Linked DNA regions of Arabidopsis thaliana. The protein of the gene in region 1 interacts with the protein of each later gene in a pairwise test. Each region holds a gene or a part of one and is shown in the gene's direction. Other genes may lie near its edges. The genes, in order: CRF2, AHP4, ARR7 and RR12.

Region 1 (6,177 bases):
AAATTTAGATGTATAAGATTTTAGTATACAAATCATCTAGAAATAAATGTTCAGTGACCTTGTAATCTAACATGGCAGAAGAGACAAGACTCACAACCAATAAACATAGTATGCTATAATTAATAATCTAACCAAACATACTGTAAACAAGAAAGAGAGTTGGGAATTATTTTAGTTTTGAAAAAGAGAAAAATATCATAAATTCACCTAAAATTAGTAGAAAGAATTTAAAACTTAATTTGACCCACAAAAAATAATATCTAACACTTCATATATGTTTCCATTATACGTGATGATATTTAAACAGTTTTCCTACAAAAATAAAATAAATGATGTTTCGGTTTTGAATATACGGCAGGTTTAATTATTTCGTTATATGAAAATGATAATCCTAAGCGGCGTGGTCTAACCCACACATTTCTCTTGCGATCCAGTGAAAAAAAAATAAAAGTTTCGATTATCACGTAAAATTTACATTGTGAAATATATCGAGTTTCTATGAACTTATCGTTGTCTCAAGAACTGATGATTAATGATTGTGTAATGATTATTATTTCGTGGACCAACAAATTTTTCATTATCTTAATAATTAGTGCCTATTATTATACTGATTTATTTCCGGAAACGAAATTTTATTTGTTTCGAAATGAGACATATGAAAATAATGTTATGGGATTCCTGAATTACGTGGCTCGAAGTAAATTTTGCTCATCTAGGGTTTGATGCTTAATTATACTGTAGTGATTTAGAATAATCTATTTCACATTTTTCACTCAGCTCTATTGTCTGAGAAATTTTATACCACATTTATTACAACTATATATATTTATCAACTTAAATCTAAAATCTATACATCAATGTTGTCCGGAATATAACATATACATAATACATGATGAATTATAGTATTATACTATAGTTGTTTGTTATGCATGTATTATTCAAAGATTCGAAATTAGTGATACTATATATATGTACATCAGTACATGGTCGAGAGTTTGTTAGATGATATTCACTGCAAATCTACACTAAATATTCATGTGAAAATAATTTTACAAAACGCAGGTAGAGTGTTACATGTTAAACGAGTACGCTTAAACTAGTGCGTACATTGCAGAGTAAAGAAGTTGGACAAAAACTGCATAGCATAAAGGAAGCAAATAAAAAATGAAGGGAAAGACAAGACATAACAAACGGGTACATGGTTCACATACCCTGCGATCAGATTGTTTCGTTCTTTGGTAATGTAGCATGGGCTTCCAATATCTTCTCTATGCAAATTATATTATTATATCAGTACGTTTTTAAACATTTCTGTAATCAAAACTCAAAAATAATAATTCAATATATATGAAAACTAGTTGTACGAAATACAAAGTGTTACCCGATCGTGTCAAAATCAAAAACATTTCAATCATGATTAGGAAACTTAACTCAACCATACGTTACATAGGAAAGTAGATGCTGCATAGTTGACCATTGGTCAAAGTGTTTAACACTTTTAAAGATTTTTAACTTAATAGAGAAAGTAAATTTTTATTCTCTAATTAATTAGAAATGCCAAATATGCTTGTCTTTAAAAATTGTCAGTAAATTAAAGTCACTCTGTTATTATACATTTTATAGTCACATAAAATCTGCAAGCAAATAACAGAAAATTATCAAGTACTCCTAATCATAATTAAGAAGTAGTAATACAATGATTCCAAAAAAAATTACTGTACTTTTTTTTAATGTGTGTGTGTGGCGCAACGTCCTAGATTGTTGTCTGCCACGTTAGCCAGCACCAGCTGTAATAACTAAAAAGTGGCAAGGTTATGACTGGTAAAGGTTAAAACAGTAAAGAACTACGAGCCGTAACGGTCTCTTGTCTTTCTTCTTTTTCACAACGCAACTTGCTTAGGTGAAAGTACGATACTATCCCTGTGGTGAAAAAGAGAACTTCGCACGGAGGTTATGAGATTAATCACCTGCTGTTAATTATAAATTATTGGTTCTGGTCAAAAGTAAGACTGGACCGTGTCTCCGGTGTCACGTGACCTGAATCTCCAATTACGAGGAAATTTTAAAAAATGATTATAGAAGTAATTAGTATTAGTAATACATATGTTTTTCTCTTTGTCAGCTGCCCCATGGAAAGGCACGTCCCAGCCGTTGGATTGGACCCAATTCTGTAATTACACGTGTCGATATCTCAATCGTTTGACTTATGCGGCATTTTGGTTTTGCCAAGCTCGTTTTTTCCGGCTATAATTAGTTTTTGCTAAAAATCAGTCAAAAATTAAGATTTCATTCTAATTTTAAAAAGACAAATTTCCTTGGTCGGCACTAATATCTAATTATCGACCATTAATGTCATGATTCTTATTTGCGTTACAATAATTACTGTCGACACTTGTTGTAGTTCTTAGTTTTTGTTTTTTATCTAGTTTTGTCTCTAAATTTCAATTTCAATTAAGTGTACATTTGGACTGTAACAAGCATAGTTTTGACAATTGTCTTTCATTCATTTCATCATTTGACATCACCAATGAAAAGTTAAAAATCTCTTAACACTAATTATGAAATGTCTTTCATATTCTTGTACATATATATAAAACACTAAACTCAAAGTGTTTAGCAAATAAAAAAGAATTTAGATACAAATGAATCTTGTCCACCTCCCTTAAACAGAAAGAAATATCTTTGTCAAAAGTTTTTTTTATAAGATATTCGAAAATTAAATTAAATACCAAAAAAGAAAGAAAGGAGTAAACACTAATAATATGAGACGTTTCAAAGATCCTATAAAATAGTCACTCTCTACCATTACATGTGCTCTGCCGCTTTTAAATCTCTCATCTTCTTCCTCGTGTCACTCTTTCTCTCACACTCTGCAAAAACATTTTCTTGTCTCTCCTCTGCCCAAATTTTTTTTCTTTCCAGGAATATTTCCTAGAAAAACCCAAGCAAAGCTTTAACCCCTTCCTCCTCCAAAAGTAGCATCTTCCTCTTTTTCTATTTCTCCTTTCCTCTTCTTATCTCTCTCTCGTTTGTGAACGATTCCTTAAGAATATAACCAAAAGCCCTTTTCTCCTTTCTTCAACTTTCCGGGAAAAATCTTCACGCAGCAAGGTTTCTCTCTCGGCTCTCGCAGTGTTTTTCGTGCCTTTTGTTCTTTCTATAAAAAAAAAATTCGCGTCCTTTAAGAAAACTTTTTCCACCTAGAGAAGAAGAAGAGTATCACTCTTGTTGTTCAAGTTTCTCTCTTTAATAAAAAATCCATCTTTATTCTTTGTCTTCTTTCCTTTTTGCTTTCCCTAATCTCTATGTTATAAACACACAGAGAGAAACAAAGTCACAGTCTCGAGTCAAAAACAGAGAATACGAAAGAAAAATGGAAGCGGAGAAGAAAATGGTTCTACCGAGAATCAAATTCACAGAGCACAAAACCAACACGACAACAATCGTATCGGAGTTAACCAACACTCACCAAACCAGGATTCTTCGTATCTCAGTCACTGACCCAGACGCTACTGATTCCTCCAGTGACGACGAAGAAGAAGAACATCAACGCTTTGTCTCTAAACGCCGTCGTGTTAAGAAGTTTGTCAACGAAGTCTATCTCGATTCCGGTGCTGTTGTTACTGGTAGTTGTGGTCAAATGGAGTCGAAGAAGAGACAAAAGAGAGCGGTTAAATCGGAGTCTACTGTTTCTCCGGTTGTTTCAGCGACGACGACTACGACGGGAGAGAAGAAGTTCCGAGGAGTGAGACAGCGTCCATGGGGAAAATGGGCGGCGGAGATAAGAGATCCGTTGAAACGTGTACGGCTCTGGTTAGGTACTTACAACACGGCGGAAGAAGCTGCTATGGTTTACGATAACGCCGCTATTCAGCTTCGTGGTCCCGACGCTCTGACTAATTTCTCAGTCACTCCGACAACAGCGACGGAGAAGAAAGCCCCACCACCGTCTCCGGTGAAGAAGAAGAAGAAGAAAAACAACAAAAGCAAAAAATCCGTTACTGCTTCTTCCTCCATCAGCAGAAGCAGCAGCAACGATTGTCTCTGCTCTCCGGTGTCTGTTCTCCGATCTCCTTTCGCCGTCGACGAATTCTCCGGCATTTCTTCATCACCAGTCGCGGCCGTTGTAGTCAAGGAAGAGCCATCCATGACAACGGTATCTGAAACTTTCTCTGATTTCTCGGCGCCCTTGTTCTCAGATGATGACGTGTTCGATTTCCGGAGCTCAGTGGTTCCCGACTATCTCGGCGGCGATTTATTTGGGGAAGATCTATTCACGGCGGATATGTGTACGGATATGAACTTCGGATTCGATTTCGGATCCGGATTATCCAGCTGGCACATGGAGGACCATTTTCAAGATATCGGGGATCTATTCGGGTCGGATCCTCTTTTAGCTGTTTAATAATATTTTAAATAAATAAATAGTTATACCGGCCGTTACTAAACGGAACCGGAGAAAGTTTTGTATACCGGTGACATAAAATCTCGGTTATGTTCGTAATCTTTTTTTCTTTGTTATATATAAAAATATGAATGAAACTGAATTAATGTAAGTTAATGGTGATAATTATTAACGTTTTAAGTTTTGAAAAATAATTTTCGTCTGTTAACGATAATGGGAGGTCGAGTTTCTTTTTGCTTCCACGTGCTCTGCTCTCTTTATCTCTTTTTAAAAATTTTGGTCGACTGAAAAATTCCTTTATTTGATATAAAAATTCGTTTTTATGTTGTTGTTGTTGGTAGAGGCACGTGTGATCTCACGTGATGAGAACAATTGAAAAGCTTTTGCATCTAGTTTTTGTTTTCTTAAGGCTAATCATATCATTTTCGAAAGGCTAATAATAATTTATTGTTACACGATTACAAGCTAATAATCCAAAGTCCAAAAACTAGTTTCTTGAAATAAAAATAGTGTGATATGCCAGGTAGATTGAGACTAGATACGAAGAAGGAGAATCTAAGTTGATTTGAAATATGGCACATCATAAAACTATATTTTGGCAGTTTATACAAAAATTCAGAAGAAAATGAGTAAAATATAAAAATCTCATGAGGATTAAATGAAAGAAGCAGTTGGGGTAGTTGATTGTCTAGAGCACTTGAATCTCACTCTGTTTTAACAGTTTCTATAATAGTACGATGTAACTATGGTTGTATTGTTATGCACGCATAAATCAACTTTAGTTTTATGGTTTTATACTAAGCCATATTGTGTAAATCTAATCGTCCTGAATAATTAGAGTATGTTCATAATTGTTTTTTGTCCTTTTATTGTTTCATTGTTATTTAGGAATAGGGATGTTACGATGGGTCAAGCTGGTCCATGCCTTGGTTTGGTTCGATCTGGTTCTTGATTGATTTTGGCCAGCGGATACCAAGTGAACCATCAATTGCAAAATGTTACTACCTGTCTATGTCAATATCTCTGTTCAGGCTCGGGCCAGCTTGCTTTTGCATGATTTTGGTCCACCACACCATGGTCTTATTTAAGGGTTGATAGAGCTTGTATGATCAGTACCTTTAAGGTGTGATTCTCGAAGAATTGTTGAGATGATTTACTTTCTTTCATGCATTGCTGCTTGGTTTGCTTATTTGTTTTTTTCAATTAGTTATCTCAAAAATATCTCTAAAATTTATAACCTTGTGAGAAGCTAAGGTTATTGTCTCACGAAGCAAGCAGTGTTCGACCTAGATGGATGGTAATCGTTTCTATCTTGTGGCTCTATTCCAATGGTTTACTATTTTTCCTAAATACCACTTTGTTTTCAATCCGAAATTTATACCACGTTACAAAAAAAACTTTCATAGAGACTTAGAGAGTGTGTTGTTTGATAAACCTTTCGTGTATTTTTTTTTTTTTTTTAATTATTATTTTAAAACTCTACGTAAACAATTTTAATCGCCATTTCTGAGAAAACTCAAAAGCAATAACCGATGTAATTGATAAAATAAAAATAAAAAATAACATTAAAAAGATTGAAAATACAGAGGAGATGCAGGGAAAAGAGCTGACGACACGTAGGCTAGAGCCGCAACTACTCGAGAAAGAGCATTGTCGTGTCGCTTTCGTTAAATACTACTGTACTATCTTTTTCTCTGCCCGTAAGGTTGGTTCAGAGGCTACTACATTTCTCAGGCCTTTTTTTTTTGGTTCTATATAAAACGTGAACTTAA
Region 2 (5,765 bases), on another chromosome or scaffold:
TAATAAAATGGTCAAACGTCTTTATGATGGTCTCTTGTCACCAGTTTTGTTTGTCAAATAGTAGTGGAATTTGTTTTCCATGGTTGTGCAGCCTCATCTGTAACAACTAACAAACACGAATTCAAAATTCTTCACAATGACCATTATGTTTGTACCAATCACATTTATACTCAAAAGAATTATTGCTATTGTTCTGTTTCAACTCTCAACCACGACAACTACTCAAAACTTGATAGTATTTTCTAGTTGGGATGAGTAAATGAAATTGTATATTAACATGATATGTCGGAAGACGGTTCCCTATGATTTAATGTAAAACTCGGGTCTATATTTTTATTTTACTTTTATGATTATGATTAGTCGTTATCGGCCGATTTATTTGTTATTTAACAATTTGTTTAGGATTATAGCTTTTTCGGATTGGGAGGAATCATGTTCATAATATCGCGGAGGTGTAATTATTCACGAAAGTGATAGAGGATAAAAATAAATTTGTTTAGCATATACTTTATTTAACGGGTGATAGATGATTGAAGTTACATCTTTCAAATAATTGGATATTATTGAATTTATATTAATAGTTGAGAAGAATGTTTTTAATTGAGTAATCAACACAATTAAAAGAATTAAAAATCTGTTTGTGTGTCGACATTTGAACTTTTAAGGAGTCATCTTCAATCACGAACCAGTCAACATTGTGCCCTTTATACGAAATACTTAGTTCAATTAGGTGCTAATAGCTACTTCTAATAACTTTAGTAGCACAAATTCTGGCATCATGTATATCCAACAAAAAATCTCAAGATAACTTTCCGAAGAATATCTATCATTTAAAAATAAACTTTCTCTAAACATGTATTAATCTTCCAATCATAGGAATTAATAGTGGAACAAGCTAGCCTTCTAAAGTATTACAAGACTGATTTTGTCTTGAATATGAATATAAGTTATATTACAAACTAGCCTATAGTCTAGCAATTTCCTAATAATATATGAAAACTAAATCTCTACATATTTTCTCCCTTCGAATTAATTAGTCATTTGTACCAGAGGCAGAGATGATAGTTACGAGTTCATAATAATTAAGAGTTAAGACTATATATAGCCTTAAAGCTTAGAAATATACAAAAGATCATAAGAACAAAAAATAATTTTCTTTTATAAAATTAAGATCACATATATATATAAAGGAATAATTGGATTGTGTAACACATATACAACAAAATTTAGATAAATGTCATGAATTTTGTCCTCTTTTATTAGAATTTTATCTTGTATAATACTAAAAGGTAAACATAATAACATTTGATTTAAATACAAAATTGGGGTTTATCATGTAAAACCAACCTCACAAGTTTTGGAATGAATTGTTTTGTTTCTTCTAATTTTGTGGTATTACATATTTGTTATTAGAGGGGAGGTCGGAATTAAGGAGAATAATCGAGATGAGACAGCAAGCAATAATAAAACTTAGATTCTAAACCCACTTCCACCGAAAATATGTAGTAGACAAGTCCTTTATGTGAGATTGGTTTGGTGGGCGGAGGAATAAATAAAGCTGATTTTTTTTTGTATATGATCAATCTCTCTCTCTTCTGTAATTCGATCTCACGATGCTTGTCTGAGAGAGAAAGAGATATAGAAAGGAACAAATTATGCTGTAATGATAAAAAGATCTTTTATGTCTTTGTGTCAATCATTTAGATCACACTTGTTATGTGCTCTTCAGTTTTTCCTTTTTAGATACTTGTTCCTTGTTTCCAATAACAGAAATTTATGGTTTATTTTTTACTCGTTGGATATATGTATACCTTATTCTCTCTCTCTCTCTTTTTGGTTTCCTACTTCTTTCTTTTTTTGTTACAATATAGAAGTAGGAAACACACGCATCCGCACAAGTACTAGCCTTTCCTTGGCACACAACACCCTCTCACCTCCACACATTAATGGAAGAAACTTGGAAAAGATTTGCATCTAATTTTTCAATGTTTGTTGCAGCGGTCAAAGAGAAAGAAAACACATCAAACAGAAAACCCCAATAGAAATCTATTTATTTCTGGTCTTGATCATGATACTAACCTTGACTATGTTTTTAATATAAAAATGTCGTTTAATGTTTATCACAAGATATAATCCTTACTTAGTAATTGAATTCCGGACCCCAAACTAAAATACTTCGAATTAGTATTGCTTTCTGTTGTTGAAACAAAAGATAAGCAATAATAGTGTTTGCTAGTGTGCTAGATTCCAACAATTTTTTCTTCCAAAAGTACAACTTTTTTTTGCCCATTTCGTAAATTCATATGTACATATATAGTTGAATGTTGTGGGTGTACGTAATTGGTACCATTAAAATCAGGAAATCACAACCTTAAAAATAACAAAAAAAAAAAGAAAAAAGAAAAGACAATGATATTATAGAAAACTTTGTGAAAACATGAATTAAATTCAGTAATTAATCAAGACGGAAATGGTCTGTTCAGAATATTTTTCTTGAACTGTATACTTTTTCAATCTATAACTTTCTTTTTCACTTTCAGGAAAATTCGTGTCCACATACATTTTACTAGTATATATTTGCCTCATTTCCAAAGGTGTGTTTCGTATAGTATCAACGTTTAGCTTTTAGGTTCTATATTCGAAATTTTACATGTTTCTATGATGTACGTATATATATAATATTAGTCGTATTCCCATTCGTGAGATCCTTTGATTACTTATTAATTAAGATGCATTTCAGTTATATTTTTGGGCAATAGATCAATCATCCACAGTAGTTTAAGTTTCATAATGGACCATACTATTAATTAAACAATCAACATTGAGGAATTCTCTAATTGAAATCTCTTATTCAAAACTTTAACATAAACACTATCTTATATATATAAAAGATTACTATACATTCAAACTTATATATCAACACACATATATGATCATTTGATAACACCTACCATTTGTGTTATACATATATTTTATAGAGAAGTTATAGAAAATTATACTGAGTATACATCTATGTGTCATCGAAATAAGCTGATAATAACGAATACACGTTTTCTTTTTATGTCTGGAGTAGAATACAGCATTCATGCCCTTACGTTGCAGGTTCCCATCATTTTACAAATATTCTCTTCTCTTTTCTACTTTCTCTTTTTTGATGTAATACGATCTATTTATTTATTCTATATTTCACTATATATATCTCAGATGTCCAACGTTTCAGTATTGCATTGCCACTCGAATTACCTAAGATAAAAACGAATTATCACTTTGATTTTTCGCACTTATAGTTAAATCTATTCTCAAAATTTAAACAAACATGCAGAGGCAAGTGGCACTCATCAAGCAGTCCCTCTTTGATCAGGTTTTGGTCGTTTGTTTCTTCGTATTTTCGTAATATAACTTCGTACGTCGTACCACTTATATATGAATTTCTTCATATAATTTAGAAAATGACTAATATAGGAAAATGCATGCAGGGATATCTCGACGAACAATTCATGGAGTTAGAAGAGCTCCAAGATGATGCAAACCCTAATTTTGTTGAAGAAGTTTCCGCATTATACTTCAAAGATTCAGCTCGGTTAATCAATAACATTGACCAAGCTTTGTGAGTATTATTTTGTTTTCTATTATATATATATTTTTTTTTTTTCAGTTTTCTAATCATTTTTACAATGCAGGGAAAGAGGATCATTTGATTTCAATCGGCTGGATAGTTACATGCATCAGTTTAAGGGAAGCAGCACGAGGTAATTTCCCCCCTTAGTTTTTGACTATTCTAATTACGCCTTCAAGAAATAATTTTACTTAAAGAAATGCGAATACTTAAATGTTTATAAGATAAAAGAATGTAACGCAAAAGTACATTAAAATTACTTCCATTCTCATTCAGGATTCAATGACAGAATCTACTTTAACCAGAAATAATTAGATTTTATGATCGTTAGTTATACTGACAAATGTTGCATTTCTTTTTTTTGTAGCATTGGGGCAAGTAAAGTGAAAGCTGAATGCACTACGTTTAGGGAATACTGCAGAGCTGGAAATGCGGAAGGGTACTTTCGTCTTTATACTTATATACCTTCATGCTTCTCGTTTTTAACAGAAAACTAAGTAACGGGGTCAAAATGAAAATAAGTATAGTTTAGATGGCTAAAATTGCTGCAATTAATCCGCTGAACCTTGAACTTTTACTTTACTTCATTTTCGACCCCCTAATTAGTTTTCTTCGCTTTTTCTTACTTGCAGATGCTTGAGGACTTTCCAGCAACTGAAGAAAGAACACTCAACGTTGAGAAAGAAGCTTGAACATTATTTCCAGGCGAGCCAATAATCAATTATGCTTAATAATTTACATAATTAGAATGTGATTAGAAGTTATCATCAATCACTTTTGATATAGTATTTGCTGAAGTGAAATTTTTTGTAATGAACAGTTGGCAAGGCAGGCGGGGCCTAAGGAGACAGCACGTAGGCCCAAGTAAGAGAGAAAGAGAGAGAGACAGAGATAAATGAGGAATCGTCGTCGAATTTTGTAGCAAAACTATATAATAAATAGTTCCTCTTTATTTTTATATATTTCGATGTACGTTATAAAGAAGGTTTTGGACTTTTATATTATGTCCGTTAATAAACGGTCCAAATGTCTCTATGTTTTTCCCCTTATATCGCCAAATTTTCCCTTGGGAGTTTTATAGCTACGATTACCTCGTAACATATGGCTTCCTCTAATAACGGAATACAGAAAAGAGTGGACCAAAAAAATGCATTTTTTCGATTCTATGATGAATGCATTACCTTGTTTACAAAAGGAAAAAAAAAAGAAACTAAGCTTTACATTATTCGGTTTGTTTCCAGGAACCGTGTCCAAATCCTAAATATTCTTACCTATTTTTATATCATTATGTTAATATTTGTCTCTACTAGTACTGATTAATAAATATTTAAAAAAGAAAAAAAAAACCAAAATATTCTTAGGTAAAAGTCTAAAATAACATTATCATTATGTTACTATTTGTCTCTACTAAAACTAATTATTAAAAAAAAAAGAATGCCATGGCTTAGATGCAAACTATTCTTAGCTAAAAGTCTAAAATAATAACATTATCATAAACAATTAATATTACACTTTTCCATCTAATTTCTCTTACATGCCCTATTTTTCAAACGATGTCGTTTAAGAATATCACATAGACCTTCTATTTCATGAAAAAACTAACTCACCAATGCAAATAAATAAATCAAATGTTTGTTTGTGGATAAAGTAAAACGTTTTCTTTCAATGGCCCAGCATTTACTAAAATTTATTTCAAGTTCTTCCACGTAAAGTCTACACTACATACACTCATACAGGCAGTGTAACGCTGATTCGTAGAGCTGGAGAGTATCACAACAATAAATTTCTCTTCCGAAAGAAAACAGCCTAATATTAGGGAGATATTTACATACTCTATAAGATGTTCTTTAATCTCTTATATATATTACATATGAAAGAATTAATTGTTTAATTATTATCCAAAGCGACGTGAAACCACTCTCATTTATTAGCCCTAGCTATATCTCACAACCTCCATCTTCCTTACTTTAAAAACACAGACCAGATCCTATTTATAGCATCCATGTGCGCCATTGAAAGGTAAATTTATTTAATAAAGTTTACCTATAATATCAAATTATGCAAAACACAGGCTGGTTCAGTTTTTTCCACGAATCAAAAATGGTTGGAGAAATATTGAATAAGAGAGAGAGAGAGAGAGAGAGAGATA
Region 3 (5,446 bases), on another chromosome or scaffold:
TCAGACCATGCCTCGATATTTAATAATATAGAAGTCGTTACCTATATAAAGAGAATCCTCGTAGTCCAATTTGATGTTTAACTTTATTCGTAGTCTCTGATTTGTTCGATGACTAAACGATTTTATTAACACTTTGGTTTTCAAATATCTCCTCTTTGGTAGTTGGTACCGGTTGATGATGTGGAAGCGAGTCATATTTTCTTGTTTTAGTGGAACTAATTTTTTCCCAGTTGATTATACCTTAGAGTCAAACTTGATTATTATCGCACTGGACGCATATAGACAAATCAATACTGTTCTATGTGATAAGTCATAAAATTAAAGTTTGACAAAAATATTGTATCAATTTGTGTATATATTACTGTCACATATAAGCATGTTAACAATGAGCTGAAAATAATGTTGTTATGAGAAAAACAGTATATTTATATACGATAATAATATTAGTCTTGAAAAATAACTAGTAATATCTTTGGTATTTTGGTCATCGTATCTTGAGATTGTAAGCAAACTTTGTAAACAAATCAGTACGTGACTATATGATGAAGCATTATTTATTACGAAACCAACAAACGGAGAACACTTTTATATATATTTTAGCGTTGTTATGACTATAGTGTTTTTTCTCCTCTTGTAGCTATCGTGACTATATCATCAATAGTCCGTTTCTATTATTCAGGAACTGTTCGTTTATGTTTAAAATCAAATTATTGACTTCTAAAAAATAACTGAATACATGAAAGACTTTGGTGGTTGTGGTTCGTTTTTTTAAATTGGATTTAGGATTTTCTTTTCATAAATCTTAGGTACGGAGCAAATGGATGACTGTCTCTTGATTTGTTTATTTTATTATTCAAAATGTATGCAAAGATCTTGATAACTTGAAACATAAGACATTAAAATCTAGGTGGAAAAAAACATTTGAAAGCAAGTTTGTTCCATATATAAATTGCAATGAAAATAAGAAAATGTGAAACATATTGATGGTTTTTTCCTTTTCCTTTCAGTAATGTTCTTATCACCAATGTTTTGTTTGGCACGATCATCAAATGTTTAGACATGTGGATCAACATTGTAATAATTTTCTCTTCAAATGACTGACTCTTTTTTTTTTTTTCAAAATAATGTTTTTCGTAAGTGTTAGGTGTGAAGACCATCATGTTTTTGCTAGATTCTTGTAGATCTCAACATTGATATTTGTAGATATCTATCAAATCGTTACAAAAAGTTTGCTAGATTCTAAATTAATGCTAAGAAACCAGTTTTCTTTACAAAATGTTTTTGTCAATGTCCTCTCACAATCGGCTAAAAGATGTTACAAACTATAAAGGATCCTCCTCCACAACTTTTGAAGATTTTACTCTCTCCAGATTTTGTCCAAAAAGGACTCACAAAATCACACAATGATGGTCAACTAAAAAAAATCACTAAACAACTTAAATGAAATGATGACAAAACTATTCCCTTTTGTTGCAAAATAAAAAAAAAAACCTTTTAAATCTGCAAAGAGATCCTTATATGATATGGCTGTTGTCCTGGTATTATTTCTCCAATTTAATTTAGGAATTTCATGTTTGACACTTATTTAGGGATCGTATAATATACGTTTTTTAATTGATTTGAAACCAAATAACATGTACTATTGCCTTAGTCCTCTTGCAATTCGTTTAGAAGATGTTATGATTGAGACAAAAGGATCCACCCGCAATACTTTGTCCATATTTTTCTCTCAAGATTTTGTCCAAAAGCAAAAGAGACTCACAAATCACACACAATGGTCCACTAAACAGAGTGCCTTTATTGCATACAAAATTCAATCAATTTAATAAAGGAAACTCAACTGAAAACGATGACAATAAAAAATAAAAAATGTCCCTTTTGTCTTTAAATAAAATAATAACCCTTACTGACGTAAAGAAAATTAAATTAAGATAACCTTGTAAAATACTTCTTACCCAAATTAAAAAAGAAAAAAAAAAAGACAACAAGAGGATTAAATTGTATTAGTATCACCATCATACCATTACACATAAATAAAATTTAGTAGAGTATAAACGAATCACGTGTATAGGAAAATACAAAATACAATGTTGAAGTTAAAATGAATATAGAAGTAGATTAATTGAGCAATAACCACCGGTTTTAGATCATTGATTGATATGTAAGTAAAATGCAAAGTAGTAGCCGACTTGGCAAAGAAAAAGAAAAAAGAAGAGAGAGAGAGGTAAAACTAAAATAAAATTACTAAAAGCAGAAGGAAAGTTCCAGGTCACGAGGGAGTAGTCGCTGTCGGATTGAAAGAAACAGACCAAACAAAGATCTTTGAAATCTTAAAAAAGATTCGGTGCCCAAAGATTTTGACCTTTGAAGACACATTTGATTATTTGTGTTTTCTGACACTTCCCAAACACATAACATCAACACTTGACCCATTTTTAAGATTTTGTTTCCTCTTCAAAGATCTTACCCCGCAAGATCCGATCTTCCAAATCTCTCTCTATCTACTATACTAGTACTTATTAAACCCCACCACCTCTCCCTTCTTATTTATGTCACCTAACCTAACTTCTTCTTCTTTCATTTTATCACATTCATTTCCTTTGTCTTCAATCCAAAGCTTTCCTCTTCTTGGAACCAATCTGCTCTCTTTTTTATTCTGAGTTTGACAATGGCGGTTGGTGAGGTCATGAGGATGGAGATTCCCGCCGGTGGAGATTTGACTGTTACTACTCCGGAGTTGCATGTTCTTGCCGTCGATGATAGTATTGTGGATCGTAAAGTCATCGAGAGGTTGCTTAGAATCTCTTCTTGTAAAGGTAAAAACTCAAAACCAATCTTTTTCTGCTCTGTTTTTGTTGGTTTTAACTCTCCTCTGTTTTTCTTCTTCATTAACAAACTCTCCTCTGTTTTTTAGTTACAAGTGTCTTTTTTTTTTTGTTATTTCAGTGACGACTGTAGAGAGTGGAACTAGGGCTTTGCAGTATCTTGGCTTAGATGGAGGCAAAGGGGCTTCTAATCTTAAGGTAATTAAGAATAAATCTTCCCTCTTTTGCTATCTACTGAGAAGAACTCTTGTATATTTAGGAAAGACCGAAGGAGTGAAACCTTTGCAACTTTGGCTTTGGCTATTGCTTCTTCTTGTCTTTATGATCAAATGAGATTTAGAAATGAACTAGTCTAGTTAGTGATTTATGTGTTTTGGTATTAAGATTTGATTTTGTTTGTGATTTTCATCATAACAGGATTTGAAGGTGAATTTGATAGTGACGGATTACTCAATGCCAGGACTTTCAGGATATGATCTCCTTAAAAAGATTAAGGTAATAACAATAATAATGGATTTACCAATCTGAGAAAGACTTAAACAAAGCTTTTTTAATGCTGCTTATACAAAACTCCATTGATATGTGCAGGAATCTTCAGCATTCAGAGAAGTACCAGTAGTGATTATGTCATCTGAGAACATCTTACCTCGTATACAAGAGTAAGTACTGATTGTGTAATGTGTAGTGATACAGATGGGATCATATTTGTGTCTACACTGTGATCTAAACTTATCGACTTCTTCTTCTTGTTTTTAGATGTCTCAAAGAAGGAGCAGAGGAATTCTTGTTGAAACCGGTGAAGCTAGCAGATGTAAAGCGAATCAAACAACTTATAATGAGGAATGAAGCTGAGGAATGCAAAATCTTAAGCCATTCTAACAAGAGAAAGCTTCAAGAAGACAGTGATACATCATCATCAAGTCATGATGATACTTCTATCAAGGACTCTTCATGTTCAAAACGAATGAAATCAGAATCTGAAAACCTTTTTTCTCTACTTTGAATTATATGTATAGAGGCCAAGACCTTAGCAAAACCATTCTGTTAATATTCCTCAAGAAAGACAATGTTTGAGAGAGTCATCACACTACTCATGATGTTGCTTAAACAAAACAAAACAAAAAAGAGAAAAGAATCAAATGTTAGGTTCACACTGACTTACACCTCATGTAAATTCTTCAATGCTTGCAACTCAAGCTTAGGATGCTCTTCTCCCGGAAGTATTGGTCTATCATCAATCACGCAGGAATCGTTTTTCAGGTAAGTGAGTCTGCAAACCGCCCAAACAGGATCCGAAGACAATTGGAATTCTTCTACTTTCCACCCGGTCATTGAGTGGACACGCCCCACATCGAGATTGAAAGAATATCTTGTTTTAGTTCCCAGAACATTTTTCTCTATGTCATTATCTATGATTTGTGTAACAACACCATTGACCCTCCATGTTTTCTTCTTGCCCCTGAGGTAGAACATCAAATTCAGCTTTTCACGACGAGACGAACACTTTCTCACAAAGTAGTACCATTCACTGTCCTTGTAAAAAGGAGATCTAACATGTTCAAGAAGCCATGGCTCCATGGCATATAGCTCTCTCTCTCTCTTATGAAGCAGCTGAAGTCTGGTGAATGGGCCTTTGGAGTGAGGTACAAAGAGAGTAGCTCTTGATCAGTCGGATGAAATCGGAATCCGTAAGTAAAGACACTTGGTGGGACGTTCTGACCAGAACTCAGAGCATCATGTATCTGCTTCAACACATCCCATTTCAAGCGTGGATGTTCAAACCCGTTCAATCTAGGCTTATCTAAGTACTCATTCCCGAGGGGGTTTTTCTTAACAAAGTAATACCATTCATAGTGATTGTAACACGGATCTCTCACATGCCCAAGTACCCACGGATCCTTGTCGTACAAGTCTATGGTTTTGATAAAGCAGCTGAACTCCGGCGATTGTGTCTTCCGCATAAGGTAGTCTGTCACTTCTTCATCAGCTGGGCGAAATCGAAACCCGCGTGTTAACACCTCTGACATTTTTGCTTCTGATCCAAGAAACGAGAAACCAAATTCATCAAACTCGATCTCTAAAAACAAACAGTGATCTATTATTCTAAAAGAAAACCCAGTAAAAGAATTGGAATCATGGTAATGAATATGATTTCTTCTAGCAGTAGAAACGGTGTGAAAGTGTAACAGAGACGAATATATGCTGAAGAAGAAGAAACTTGATTATGAGAGAACGAGAACTTACATGAATCAATGATCGAAGATTTCTTCTAGCAGATTAACAGAGAGACCCAACGACGTGAAAACTTAACAGATATGAATGTTCGAAGAAGTTTCTGCAAGAACCCCAATAACGAATTGGAATCTTGGTGATGAATGCTTGAAGCAGAAACTTGGATAACAAAGAACGAGAACTTACCTGAATCAATGATCGACGATTTCTTCTAGTAGAGAACAGAGACCCAACAGATATAGAAATTCTGAAAGAAACGCGACAAAGAGTTGGATAACAGAGAGATCGACAATTTCTTCCACGAGAGAACAGACTTCAAACAAACCGTGATAATCTAACAGAGATGAACGCTCGAAGATGATAAGAAAATTGCAATCTTGGTGACGAAT
Region 4 (7,126 bases), on another chromosome or scaffold:
TTTTGTCAACTAATTTAAAACAGTTTTTTTTTTAGAAAGCTATTTAAAACTGTTTCACAAGATACACTTTTCGAATATTCATAGTAGTTTTTGAAACCATACTCCAATCAATCTGATTACTTGTAATTAAAGTATGGTCTTGTAATATTAATTTCCAAAGGTGTGATTTTATAAAATTCAAATTTAAGGCGATAACAAAACTTTTGAGCTTACTTTATCCATTGAGAGGCAAGTTTTCCTACGCAACAACAGTTGACACGGAAGTATTAGAACACAAAAATAGTAAATTCAAAGGATTCTTCTATCAAAATATAAGCTTCCAACTCAAAACTAATTGGTAATGAGTGAAGAACGTTATATCTTATAAATATTACTTAAGATTATACTAACTTCTAATATGTGACAATATCTCTAATACGATCCTTCTAAATGATGGCTTTTCTATCCATTAGTCTTGATATGTTTGGGCATAGATTAGTGGACCGATGTGGATTGGGTTGACTATATGCAGATCGGACACTGATACCATATTAGATTATGGGCTTCCAACTCAAAATCAATCGGGAATGAGTAAAGAGACTTATATCTTATATATAACTGCTTAAGTTCCTACTAAACTTTCAACGTGGGACGATATCTCTAATATCGATCAATTCAATAATTTCAACCATGCCGAAAGCTAAGACGATTATGAGAAAAAAATTGTTTTCTTATACGCCGAGCTGGAAAAATGATCCACGACAGTCTATCATTTCTATGCCAAATTATAGTGAAAAATAAAGTCAAGATGTAATTAAGAGACATAGTGTTTATATTTTTGGAAAAAGATCAAAAGGATGCTAAAATTTGAATACCAGATACCGTTACGATTTGGATATCAGTGGAGTCCGAGTGCAATTGTCAGTTTACTATCTTTTGTACCATATATTTTAGAGCGTTTTTCTTAACGTTATCATATATTTCGATAGCGTTTTTCTAAGAATAATGATATAGTCGATTTTAAGAGTATGTACAAAAAACATAGGCTACTTTATGGTTTCTACAATTGATTTGCTAAGTCAATTTTATCATTTGCTTGTACATCAGTGCATGAAAGGAGAAAAGGGAAAAACAGTAAACAGATATGTATTATCTACATGAATGGACATATCTTAGACCTCGTGAAGTACCTTAAAAACTTATAGGAGAAAGAGGGTTACTACTTACTACCTCATCTAGACCTCGATTACGCGATCAAAGCAATACTGGATATCAGATAGATGTGGTCTTATCTATCAAAATTGTTTAGTCCGTTTTCGAGTTTGGGACAAATCTCCTTAGAAACCAGCTAGAATGGCTTAATCTATATATAAGATAATAATAAGTTTAACACCAAGACTTGCCGAAGTTAAGTTACATGTAATGCTACGAGATTCTCTGATACATATGTTATAAAGTGAAGTTAAAACACTTTTCTCAAGAAACACACTTACATAAAAATTAGTCACGAAGGTAAACAAGTGCTAAAAAAAATGAAGGGTCTTCTCCAACAAGAAAGACCGTTTTAACACTACTACTTGGGGTTCGTAAATTAATACAAAATCCTGGAATAAAACCATTTATCATCTTATATCCAACCAAACAAATTAATATAAACACTGTTAAAAAATAAGAAATGAAATTTAAATTAATGATAGAAATAATCGAATTAGGTGTTTTGATTTTTTTTTCTGTGACTACAATATATTTAAAACCCAAAATTTTACAAAAATCGTTTTAGTAAATCGGTTTAAATCTGAAACAAATGCTAAGGAAAGTATTTAACAGTGATTGACATTATGGAAATAATTTAATTTTTTTTGTCCGTTTAACAGTTGGACAATACTAGATTAACAAGAATCAAAATGTATCTCCACAATAATGATGCGATATAAATGATAGTATAAACCAAAATCTTTTTACTTAAACACTTTCCTATCTCTAACATAATTACTTTTTAATTTCCCCCATTCAAATAACACCTAAGTATTATTTTACCTGGTTTTTACTTTTTAACACAATTTAATTGCAAACAAGTAGTGTGTTTTATTAGTTTAAACTTTAAAGTCTTTAGACTAGAGAGAGGAAGTGGCAATAATACTAATCCGGTTCAGTCACTAAACCAGTGTACAATATATGGTTGGTCCTACAAATGATAATTTTTGATAAACCTAAAAAAAATGGTGTATTATATATCACCTGAGGATAGGGATACAAGTTTCTTTTAGGGTGGAAATCCTTATATATAAGTGTAGGGACTACTCACCAAAATCAAACAACTCACTTCAATTTGTAACGGTTTAAACTCGGTACAATATGCGGATTTTGATTCGGTATAATGACATTAAAACACCACTTTAACAAAAACCACTAGACAAATATTAGTCATTTCGGTTCAGTTTCGTTTAAAAATTACGAATTTTCGTATAATTGAGTTTATTATTCCGTTTGGTTTAAAAGAAACCATACAAAACAAAACAAACCAAACTAAACCAAATTGGTTATGTTTCAAAGATTCTTTCTAAGTCTCTCAATAAAATGTTATTTGTTTTGTAATGTAAAGAAAAAAAAAAGAATTGCAGAAAAAGAGTGGATAGTGTTAAGAAGATGATCACACACAATTTCCATAGCCATTTATAGATAGCTAGAAGAGCTAAAGAAGATTCCTTTTTTTAACTCTGCTGGAAAAATCTTTTTGTCTCTCTCTCTAAATCTAAATATTATATACTACTACTCTCTCTCTCTAGACCCCATTCACATATTTAATCTTTAACTCATTTCTCCATCGACGTTCTTGCACATCCCACTTTCTCTCTTTCTTCAACTTGCAAAAAAGATTAAAAATCCAATCTTTCGTTTCTGGGTCTGTTGAAAAACGATGACTGTTGAACAAAATTTAGAAGCTTTGGATCAGTTTCCTGTAGGAATGAGAGTTCTTGCTGTTGATGATGACCAAACTTGTCTCAAAATCCTTGAATCTCTCCTTCGTCACTGCCAATACCATGGTTCCTCTCTCTCTCTCTCTCTCTCTCTCTCTCTCTCTGTTTTCTTGGATCTGTTTTTCATCAAGTTTTTAGATTTTATGTCTCTTTGATCTGTGATTTGATCCACATATGGTGGAATCTTTTGATATCTATCTACCTAACTTCTTGTATACACAAATCTAAAAAAAACTTAGCTTTTTTTATTCCATTGTTAGATTTTGTAAGATTTGACATTTGTCAGAGAGAAAGTTTCATTGTTGAATTGAATTAAAAGTTTAAGACTTTATGGAATCTGTTGCAGTAACAACGACGAACCAAGCACAAAAGGCTTTAGAGTTATTGAGAGAGAACAAGAACAAGTTTGATCTGGTTATTAGTGATGTTGACATGCCTGACATGGATGGTTTCAAACTCCTTGAGCTTGTTGGTCTTGAAATGGACCTACCTGTCATAAGTAAGTCTTATTATTATTATTATTTTCTAATTAAACTTTTGTCATTTATTTCCTTAATGACTCACTACAGGAATAAAGTTTTGATCTCTAGACTTGGTTTTGTGATGATGATTTTCTTGTTGTTGCAGTGTTGTCTGCGCATAGTGATCCAAAGTATGTGATGAAGGGAGTTACTCATGGTGCTTGTGATTATCTACTGAAGCCGGTTCGTATTGAGGAGTTGAAGAACATATGGCAACATGTCGTGAGAAGTAGATTTGATAAGAACCGTGGGAGTAATAATAATGGTGATAAGAGAGATGGATCAGGTAATGAAGGTGTTGGGAATTCTGATCAGAACAATGGGAAAGGTAATAGAAAACGTAAAGATCAGTATAATGAAGATGAGGATGAGGATAGAGATGATAATGATGATTCGTGTGCTCAAAAGAAGCAACGTGTTGTTTGGACTGTTGAGCTGCATAAGAAATTTGTTGCAGCTGTTAACCAATTGGGATATGAGAGTAAGCTTATCAATATGTCACTTGATATGAGAGTAAGCTTATCAGTATGTCACTTAAGTTCTGTTTTGTGTGTGTTGTTTTGATTGCAGAGGCTATGCCTAAAAAGATTTTGGATCTGATGAATGTTGAGAAGCTCACTAGAGAAAATGTGGCCAGTCATCTTCAGGTTACAAAGAATCTTTCATGTTTTTAACTTGCGTAACCCGAAGATTTGTTTTTTAACACCTCGGAAGCTTATGACTTTGTTCGCTGTGGTTTGCAGAAATTCCGCCTTTACTTGAAGAGGATCAGTGGTGTGGCTAATCAGCAAGCTATTATGGCAAACTCTGAGTTACATTTTATGCAAATGAATGGACTTGATGGTTTCCATCACCGCCCAATCCCTGTTGGATCTGGTCAGTACCATGGTGGGGCTCCTGCAATGAGATCTTTCCCTCCAAACGGGATTCTTGGCAGACTCAATACTCCTTCGGGGATCGGTGTCCGCAGCCTTTCTTCTCCTCCTGCAGGAATGTTCTTGCAAAACCAGACCGATATCGGAAAGTTTCACCATGTCTCATCACTTCCTCTTAACCACAGTGATGGAGGAAACATACTTCAAGGGTTGCCAATGCCTTTAGAGTTCGACCAGCTTCAGACAAACAACAACAAAAGTAGAAACATGAACAGTAACAAGAGCATTGCTGGGACCTCCATGGCTTTTCCTAGCTTCTCTACGCAACAAAACTCGCTCATCAGTGCTCCTAATAACAATGTCGTGGTTCTAGAAGGTCACCCACAAGCAACTCCTCCAGGCTTCCCAGGACACCAGATCAATAAACGTTTGGAGCATTGGTCAAATGCTGTATCCTCTTCGACTCACCCTCCTCCCCCGGCACATAACAGTAATAGTATCAATCATCAGTTCGATGTCTCTCCATTACCGCATTCTAGACCCGACCCCTTGGAATGGAACAATGTGTCATCAAGCTACTCTATACCATTCTGTGACTCTGCCAATACATTGAGTTCTCCAGCCTTGGATACAACAAATCCCCGAGCTTTCTGTAGAAACACGGACTTCGATTCAAACACAAATGTGCAACCTGGAGTCTTTTATGGTCCATCCACGGATGCTATGGCTCTGTTGAGTAGTAGTAACCCGAAAGAAGGGTTCGTCGTAGGCCAACAGAAGTTACAGAGTGGTGGATTCATGGTTGCAGATGCTGGTTCCTTAGATGATATAGTCAACTCCACGATGAAGCAGGTGTGACATTAAAGCTTTTGCCAATATTAACCATTCTGATTTGGAGATTATTGTGATTTCTGACATGAAGATTTTGTGAATGTGACAGGAACAGAGCCAGGGAGATTTGTCTGGAGGAGATTTGGGATATGGAGGGTTTAGTTCACTCAGAACATGCATATGAGAGAACAAACATTTAGACATAAATCAAATATCATCATCTTGTTTGTCTCTTTTTCTCGCTAATCTTTTGTGTATTAAAATTGTAAACTATTTGTTTTCCCACTGGTTCTAGCAATTTAGGACTCCATTAAAGAAAACAACAAAGAAAAAAGGATTCATAAATAAACTTTCTTACTTTTTTATTTTAATGTATAGTTGTCCCTTTTGTGTATGAAACCAAAATTCACGGGCCTATGAAGAAACAACCCTATAGAAAAAGTCTATGAAGAAAAAGTGATGATGACGAATTTTAAAGCAACAAAGATTCCTTCGTACACTCGAAACCATTATGTTAAAGTCAACCCAAATTTGTATTATAACATTCTTGTGTTTGTATCTTACATTATTTAGTTCAGTTTTTGAGTTTGATTGAGAATAGTAGTTAGATTGAAACAGACGACGTCTAACCGGAAACATAACCGGACTTCATCGAACCTATTCACACACTGTTAAAAAGCTTGAGGTGCATAACCAAACAGCTTTGATTGAGAAACTATAATTTCATGATTTTCCAAAAATAGGAAAACATGAAGAATATCAAAGTTAGCCTAAAATGTTACCAATGTTTGCATAAGCAGAAGATAGGTCTTACAAAAGGAAGAATAAGTCTCATACATGTAACCAAAGATAATACAACAGTTCCTACTTCATGACCCCTTGGGTCTTGAATCTTGATTTACCAGTTGAGTCAATCAACGACCATGTTCTTTGGCTTCTCTTCTTCTTTGGCTTCTTCCATTTTTACATCAACACTTCCACTAGCTTCAGCAATGTTCTCCTCTCCCTCCACCACATTCAGATCGACGACGCCACCTCTTAACGGTTTTGTTTCTTCGGCCGTGTCCTTCATCTCAACATTGTTTAGGTCTGGCTTGGTGTCGTCTTCATGTGACTTGGATTGATCAGATGTAATCGAAAGGATTGTGTTAATGTTACCATTGATAGATTTGAGTGCACGGAAGCTCTCATTCACCTTGGTACTCGGTGGTTGGTTGTTTACATATGCTTGGACTGATTCCCGAGCGTTCTCATCAAGAAGTTTGCACATCTGAATAACCGGAGAGATATTAGTGTGATATACTAGTTCTAGACATTAGCCTACCACCAAAGGAAAAAAGCATAGCTTACCTGGTTATAATGTTGAGCTATTTCGACCCGCGCTTGGTTGTTGTCAACAGCAGCCCCCATAATTTCTTCTGAAGCTGCAGCGAGATTCAGAGAGCTCACATTAGAATCAACAACTCGTTAAATAAAGAAACTTGTGATGGAACTTACTGATAGGATCAGTCTTAGGAAGTCCATCAAGCATTTCATCATCAACCTCAATAAAGCTCACTCCCACTGTGTCAGCGATCTTTGGTTCAGCTTCTGGTTCTTCAGTAGGGATAGATGATGAGCCACCAAGTCCCTGCAACCAGAGATTCAATCAAAGTTAAACAATTCAGCGCAAAACATGTGAGTAAGTACCAACACTGCAGATGGTACAACATACATAATATTCCTCTGCGTATTCATAATTCATCGCCTTCTCCAAAAGCAGAACTCGCTTTTTCACAAACTCAACAAGTCGTCTCTGCATGTCCCGATAATAGAACATCGAGTTTACTTGAGCCCCATCAGCAGAAGCATTATTGTTCCCAGTAATAACGCTTCCAGGATTCTGGTTAGTCTGTGCTCCCGGATTAGAGCCCCCACTACCATTCTGCCCCTGCAAACCAGC

What was found.
Region 2: the proteins of CRF2 (region 1) and AHP4 interact in a protein complementation assay, tested with the Arabidopsis thaliana proteins (one study listed by BioGRID).
Region 3: the proteins of CRF2 (region 1) and ARR7 interact in a protein complementation assay, tested with the Arabidopsis thaliana proteins (one study listed by BioGRID).
Region 4: the proteins of CRF2 (region 1) and RR12 interact in a protein complementation assay, tested with the Arabidopsis thaliana proteins (one study listed by BioGRID).

What each region holds. Positions count from the first base shown.
Region 1 is NC_003075.7:12,373,378-12,379,554, forward strand, and holds CRF2 (cytokinin response factor 2), read left to right. Parts: upstream 1-2,744; 5' UTR 2,745-3,373; coding exon 3,374-4,405; 3' UTR 4,406-4,655; downstream 4,656-6,177.
Region 2 is NC_003074.8:5,551,035-5,556,799, forward strand, and holds AHP4 (HPT phosphotransmitter 4), read left to right. Parts: upstream 1-3,162; 5' UTR 3,163-3,316; coding exon 3,317-3,361; intron 3,362-3,439; exon of another isoform or gene 3,440-3,449; coding exon of another isoform or gene 3,450-3,476; coding exon 3,477-3,607; intron 3,608-3,680; coding exon 3,681-3,749; intron 3,750-3,983; coding exon 3,984-4,055; intron 4,056-4,248; coding exon 4,249-4,321; coding exon of another isoform or gene 4,322-4,333; exon of another isoform or gene 4,334-4,359; intron 4,360-4,436; coding exon 4,437-4,484; 3' UTR 4,485-4,755; downstream 4,756-5,765. UniProt on the Arabidopsis thaliana protein: Functions as a two-component phosphorelay mediator between cytokinin sensor histidine kinases and response regulators (B-type ARRs). Plays an important role in propagating cytokinin signal transduction through the multistep His-to-Asp phosphorelay.
Region 3 is NC_003070.9:6,576,301-6,581,746, reverse strand, and holds ARR7 (response regulator 7), read left to right. Parts: upstream 1-2,432; 5' UTR 2,433-2,668; coding exon 2,669-2,816; intron 2,817-2,946; coding exon 2,947-3,023; intron 3,024-3,242; coding exon 3,243-3,320; intron 3,321-3,413; coding exon 3,414-3,484; intron 3,485-3,581; coding exon 3,582-3,828; 3' UTR 3,829-3,914; downstream 3,915-5,446. Other genes in the region: AT1G19040 (NAC (No Apical Meristem) domain transcriptional regulator superfamily protein), read right to left, coding at 4,334-4,852. UniProt on the Arabidopsis thaliana protein: Functions as a response regulator involved in His-to-Asp phosphorelay signal transduction system. Phosphorylation of the Asp residue in the receiver domain activates the ability of the protein to promote the transcription of target genes.
Region 4 is NC_003071.7:10,722,732-10,729,857, reverse strand, and holds RR12 (response regulator 12), read left to right. Parts: upstream 1-2,585; 5' UTR 2,586-2,896; coding exon 2,897-3,023; intron 3,024-3,303; coding exon 3,304-3,456; intron 3,457-3,584; coding exon 3,585-3,959; intron 3,960-4,048; coding exon 4,049-4,125; intron 4,126-4,221; coding exon 4,222-5,205; intron 5,206-5,293; coding exon 5,294-5,368; 3' UTR 5,369-5,557; downstream 5,558-7,126. Other genes in the region: PKL (chromatin remodeling factor CHD3 (PICKLE)), read right to left, coding at 6,095-6,454, 6,535-6,608, 6,682-6,814, 6,899-7,126. UniProt on the Arabidopsis thaliana protein: Transcriptional activator that binds specifically to the DNA sequence 5'-[AG]GATT-3'. Functions as a response regulator involved in His-to-Asp phosphorelay signal transduction system.